2 linked regions of the Nothobranchius furzeri genome follow. The protein of the gene in region 1 interacts with the protein of each later gene in a pairwise test. Links are inferred from orthologs where the notes say so. Each region holds a gene or a part of one and is shown on either strand. Other genes may lie near its edges.

What was found. The genes of interacting proteins can lie anywhere in the genome.
Region 2: the proteins of sumo1 (region 1) and zcchc7 interact in binary tests that used the Homo sapiens proteins (3 or more experiments, as listed by UniProt). The link is inferred for Nothobranchius furzeri from reciprocal best matches to the Homo sapiens genes SUMO1 and ZCCHC7.

Annotation. Positions count from the first base shown.
Region 1 is NC_091743.1:83,218,332-83,221,191, forward strand, and holds the end of sumo1 (small ubiquitin-related modifier 1), read left to right. Parts: intron 1-146; coding exon 147-224; intron 225-335; coding exon 336-407; intron 408-681; coding exon 682-750; 3' UTR 751-2,298; downstream 2,299-2,860. Other genes in the region: claudin-34, read right to left, coding at 2,456-2,860. UniProt on the Homo sapiens protein: Ubiquitin-like protein that can be covalently attached to proteins as a monomer or a lysine-linked polymer.
Region 2 is NC_091747.1:79,092,329-79,096,085, forward strand, and holds the start of zcchc7 (zinc finger CCHC domain-containing protein 7), read right to left. Parts: upstream 2,233-3,757; 5' UTR 2,030-2,232; coding exon 1,974-2,029; intron 813-1,973; coding exon 284-812; intron 1-283.

The DNA.
Region 1 (2,860 bases):
TCTGATCATGTTGTAATTTGATCATAGAGACAGTTCATGCAACATCTCAACAACTCACCTTGAAAATGCTTTAATCTGACAAACATGTAACAAGCAGTAAATGAACAGATTCTCATTGCTGCCTCACCCTTTTGTTTGTGCAACAGGACAGCAGTGAAATCCACTTTAAGGTGAAAATGACCACACATCTAAAGAAACTCAAAGAGTCGTACAGCCAGAGACAGGTACGATCAGCTGTAGCTCCTATTGCTGCTCGATTCTTTACTCTAAACCAAACAAAGAGAAACTCGACGAACCCAAACGTCTTCATGTGTCCTCTGGTGCTTCTCTCACAGGGCGTCCCAGCGAGCACACTAAGGTTTCTGTTTGAGGGACAGAGAATCGCAGACAACCAGACTCCAAAAGAGGTAAACATGGCCGCCGTGGCCTTATTATTCTGTCATGTTGATGCTGAAACTGTTCTTAGTGTGTTCATTCTCACCGATCTGTTTTGTTTACGCTCTGAACCTTTCACTGACTCGTTTATCTGGGCTGCTGTCGTGTATTTTATAGTCACGGTTTGTCTCCGGAGTCCTAACAAGATGATTAGATCAGCAGCTTTTCACTATATCACAGATGTGGGACTGTAGGAGTTACTAACGTTTCTGGTTTGCTGATTTCTCTGCTGTGTGTCGCTGGCAGCTTGGGATGGAAGATGAAGACGTCATCGAGGTGTATCAAGAACAGACCGGGGGATTTTGGAACGATTAAACCTCTCAGTTTATTATTATTTTGATTTTTTTTGTTTTGTTTTTTGTATGTATGTATTGTTGTTTGTTTTCAAACCATCTGGATCATAATGGACTCACTGGGCTTCCAGGTGTGAGACAGGGAGGTGCACAGACAGCAGGTCCCTGGTTCTGCAGATGGAGGACGTTCTCGTTGTCAGCCCGAGCTTTAGCATTCTGCGTCATATCGGATTCCCACAAATCATGCCTCTGTGTTGCTGCTTTTGTTTTTTTTAATCACTTGTCAAAGGGTTCAGAAATAAACGTCATAAAAGCAAATGTTAAAAACACGTACTGATTTTTAAGTGGCTGTATGAGTTATAAAAACCAACAACGTTGTTGTCCTGAAGCCCGGATATTTCACACCGTTTAAGACTTTCAGCTCTGCTCCTGTTTGGGAAATGTCCTCAACGAGAAATAAATGGACAATATCCAGATTTAGTTCAAACGAAGCAGGAGACGGAATTTCTAGTGTTGCTTGACTTTAGCTCTTTAAACTAAGATGTGAGTGGTTTTATTTTTTTTTTATATATAGAAGTAACTTTTAAAGTGTTTGAAACGGTCCAGGCAGTGAAACACGTGTCTGCTTCTAAAAGATTTTATAATTTCTTTGCAACTTCAGGGCTTCAGAGGTTGCCATGACAACAGCTCTTTTACTGAATGGTCAGAAACCAGAATGTGTCTTTTATATTTAACTACCAATGTAAAATGATGTTTTCATTTAAATAAAAAAACCTTTTGATTCTAAATTTGGATTTTCTAAAAACACTTTTTCTGTGATCCAAAAGGATCCCAGGAAGCTTTTCAGTAAATCTTAAAATGAGTTTCATTTTCTACTTTTACTGGGGTGGTTCAACAGCCCTGTCTCTGCTCAGGCTGGGATTACTGGGCCGTAATCTGGGCTTCTGTGGATTAAATCAGTTTTCTACATCTCATCCAAACTAAAACTTCTCTGCTGATATTTTATGACTTTTTTATTTTAGTCGTGCTTGTCTTGTATATTTTGTGTTCAGCATTAATGTGTTTGAATGGAATAAAGTATATATAGATGAAAACTTTCTGCTGATTCTGTCCAGCAGTTCAAATGTTTTTAAGCAATGATTTTGGTGCTTCTTTGGAAGCGTACATGTCTTGTGATGAAATCTGAACCCGATAAAAACAACCCGAACTGCTTCGTAAAGCTGGATAAGGATGTGATCCGATGTTTGACAGCATGAACTGACCTGAGATCAGCCGTCTCTACTGCCACACGAGGGTTTTCTCCACCATCTGTAACAATGTGGAGTTACATCTGCTTAAATTATAGACATACACTTTAATAAATGAGTTGTTTCCTTCCAGAGATGCATGCAATAAAAAAGTTCAGAACCTTTGGTTTAAACTTGTCGGTGTTTGAATAATGAGCAGCTCAGGTGAACTCGTCTCCACCTGAACCGGGAGGGCTGTGATTGGGTGGAGGAACCTTGATGCAGATGGTTTGAAATGATGGGAGATGTGATTTTTTTATTTGAATAAAATATTTAACGGAAAATGCTCGTGTGTGTGTTTTATTGTGTGCTTGTTCTTAAAAATATTTCTACTCCTGCTGAATTGGAAAGAAAAACATACAAAATGCATGAACCTGTGATCTTAGTTTTGTACAAAAGTCATTCAAAATAAAGATGAGTCATGTGGGGTCTCAGAATAAATCAGAAGTATTCAGCCATGTCAAACGCTGGGTTGTCTTTGCCACTGGGGATCACAGCCTTGTGGTCGTTTGGTCCTGATGCTGAGGAAGTGCTCTGATGCAGCTGCTCCAGCACAGAGTGAAGCATCATGGGTATTGTTCTCTCTGGCAGTTTGTACGAACAGAACACAATCCCAGACACAATCATGAGGACAGAGCCCACAATCCCCACGCCGATGCCTCCTCCCACCTGCTGGGACTCTGGTGCCCGAGGAAACTCGAACTCGGGTGGAAACGCGATGGTCTGGTTTGTCACAACTGAGCTCAGATTCCAGAGGAGAGGAACAAGGGCTAGCACAGCTGCCAGCAGGCACAGCACCCCGGTGCTGATGAAGCACAATCGGATCGAGTTCTCCAATCCAAAGTA
Region 2 (3,757 bases), on another chromosome or scaffold:
CCATGAGTTTTACTGTCTGTTTTCTATCAAAAGCTAATGTAGGAGATAGATGTAGAAGATTGTTTTCCTGTTCAACCTGCATGAAAAACTCAGAGTGATCAATTATATCCAGAAATAATCATAAAAAATGTTTTCAGTTTTCCACACCTTTAAGATGGAAAAGAAAATCTCACAAATTAAAAGTCAAAGTAAGTCTTTCAGATATTCACCTGAATAAAAATGACAAATCTGTTTGCATCATCTAAACTATATGGACATAGCTTAAGGCACATTGTGCTTCTACCTGTCGACCTGGAGTTGAGGTCTTCATGGCACAGATGCCATCATCATTTGAAGAATCACTCTCAGAGATGGAGATGACGACTGGGCTGGAGTCAATCACAATAACCTCTTCAAAGGCAGATGATGACAGCTTCGGACCTTTGGAGACAGTTTGTCTCTTCTTCTGTTTCACAACTTTTTTTTTCTTCAGGTGTTTCTGGTAACTGTGATCATCAGGTGATGGAGGCTTGCTGTCTTTGGGATATTCCGGTTTTCCGTCACCGTCTTTGGTCTTCTCGAGCAGTTGCTGGTCCTCCAAAATCTTCTCTTCATCATCCTCCAGCTCCAGAGCATTGGAGGAGTAGTGAAGCTGGCTGTAGAGGTGGAACTCCAGTTCACTGTTGATCTCCGACACTTCAGAGTCTCCTCCATCCTCTCGGTAGAGATCATCTTCTAACATCTTGAAGTCTTGGATGGAGCTATACATTTCCCCCAAAGACCACACATTCGCTCTGCTCACAGCAGAGGAGTCGGTGGCATCCAGAGGCTGACTGTATCAATAAAAAAAACATTAGTTTCTTTAGTTTTGTCATTTTAAGCATTTTACAAAGTAGTTGCTTCATATTTTTTCCCTCTCTGTGTTAAAACTATTATAACTAGAATGTAAATAAGTACCATTTTATATATGTGACACTGCTGCTAATGATAAACCAGAGGATAAATATATAAAACAAAAACAAAAAAAAACATACATTAAACATGAGCAGGTTTAAAAGTTTTAGCTGCCTTTTAAATTAATCTACTGAGCTGTAACTATTAGTGACAAACAGCAACAAGTACTGATGGATGAGATCCCAAAATGTCAGAAAACATTTTAGAAGACTCTAATGTATCTTACGAGTCACAGGTCTCTTTTAAGTTGGGGTAATTTTTAACATATTCAAACAAATCGTGTCAAAAGTTCATTTCAAAATTGTCGAACCTGATTCCAGTGTGATAAATGTTAGACAACTTGAGGAGAGGTGGCAAAACAATTGTGAAAATACTGAGTGTAAAAAAGATGCATTGTGAGAAACTTGTACCAAAGAAACGTGTAGAAAAGTTGCTAATTGTTTGCAATTATGTCATGAAACCCAAATGTTGAAGGCTTCATCATAGTTTGAGGCCTAATAAAAACATTCTAGAACATGTTGTGTTGCTGTCTATTTGTAGACCAGCGAAGTGTTTGCTTTAAATCTTTTTCTAAAGTCAACTACACGGTGATATTTTAATTCAAATAGTTTTGTGCTACAAATGAGTGAACTTTTTCTCAAAATTGAAAGGCATTAACTGAATTTCTATCTTCCAAAGTGCATTTTATTTCCACTGCACATCTCATTTTAAATACTGGTCACCTAAATGCTTCAGAAAGGCACTAAATAATTAAATATTCCAGCTTTTTGCAATCAGATGGTGAACAAAGTTGAATTTGCCCCTATTTAAAATCAGAGGCTTGGTATTTGTTGAAGTAAAAGTTTAACGGGTTGCTGGTGACGTTTCTCATGATCATGTACGTTTCAGACAATAATAATAATAATAATAATAATAATAATAAGAGTAAGACGTATCTCCAGCTTTCATGATGCATTTCACTTTTGCTCTAGAGTTCTTCATCTCGACAGAACAATAGATCAGAGATGAATTCAGGCCAAGATCAATTACTAGACACTTACTTTTTGTTCTCAAAACCATAAGACCTTGTTAGCAAAGTTGAGAGAGCATGACTCATGTGCAGTACGACTTGAACCTGCAGTTTTTTCCATCAGGACCGTGCTGATAGGAAACAATAGTGAACCGAGGCTTATCGCCTGGCAGGTGATGGTTTCAACAACATCTAAAGACAAAACTCAGCCTAGAACAACTATGTTAGAAACTGGTAAATCTACTCACTGCACTCTATAAAACACTGCGTTGTTAATTTTCTAAATCCGTCTTTCTCTGCCTCACACACACACACACACACACACACACACACACACACACACACACGAGGACATGGAAGGAGCACCGGCCCATTGCTCTGTCCAGTCCTGCGTGTCTGTGCCATGATGGCTGGAGATGATTGGCCCCCTGGCCGTGCACGCTGCATAAACGCCACGCTACATGGTCACAAGCCGACCACTAGGGATTAGAGGGACAGAAAGTAGAGTCTTAAAGCCTGGTGAGGGGCAACAGTTATATAAGTATGGAAGCACACAGGAACAAGGAGGTGACAAATGACCGATGGTTCTTTGCTGAGGTGGGATTTAACATGTTCTTAAGCAGCAGAACAGTCACAATCCATCGACAATGGTGACTGGTTTTATTTAATCTATCTAATTAAAGCTCCACTCAGCTCAGAGCCACTGTAAGTGCTGTATTATTATAGAAAAAGACAACTCTCTTTTTACAAGACTAAAACAGTTTCCTCACAAATTAAAATGAAAATAGTCATAGGAATAAATAATCAACCATGTTAACTGTACTGCTGCTCTTCAACAACACAGCCTGTCCAAACCTGTCCTTTTACCATCAGAGGGAACAACATTTTCAATTAATTCCTGGGTCCAATAAAGTCAGTAACTCCAGCTGTGATGTAAACACGACACTAGGGTGGCCAATTCTCTAGCATTAAAGACAAAACACTCCAACTAGCTCAACTCAGACAAAATTCTGGAAGTCACTAAAAAGTGCTAAACATTCATTCTATTGCTGCTAAGACTGGTAACATTTAAAATAAGGACATAAAGAAACAACCGGAAGACATTATTGGTGGTTTCAAGGACAGTGTGTCGCTGAATTAAGATGAAATGTTTAACCGCTTCACTTGCAGTCACAAAGTGTACATGTACAGATTGCTCAAGACGATCTCTAAGATAACAGAGAAACACAGCGAAGGCGAAAATGCGTCACACCAAACCGCATTTGATTTAGCTAATACCATCTCTGACGGTAAACACCGACTGGCTAACGAACTAGCATGCTCGTTCATCAACAAAACTATTACTCCTGTAAAATATTTCGTCAAATTCACACAAGCACACTGGAAGCAGATACTCCATCACTGAGAGGTGACGGTTGTAGATTTTCGTTCACAGGTCGGCTAATGCTGTTAGCAAGTGAACTGCTGCGTGTGCACGTGCACGTGTCTACAAGTAGCCGGTCGGATGTAAACAATGACGTACTTCAATCTCAAACACGAAATAAAAGAAAACACGCCTTTGACATAGTATCAATTAAAGCGACTTCTCAGTGTGCCTCAATTTATGAGTCGTTAGGCACAAACTTACCTTTATCAATGAAATTAAGTATTCCCAGCTTCTCATCTGTTTCCAGACCGGAGAAGGCAAACTACTTCCGGGTTTGTCCGCCCAAAATTAGGTGACCGACAGTGAAGTTTCCCTGCGCACTACCTAGAGAGGAGAAAGCTAGTTTTATAAATAAATAAATAAATAAATAAATGTTTTATATTTATATA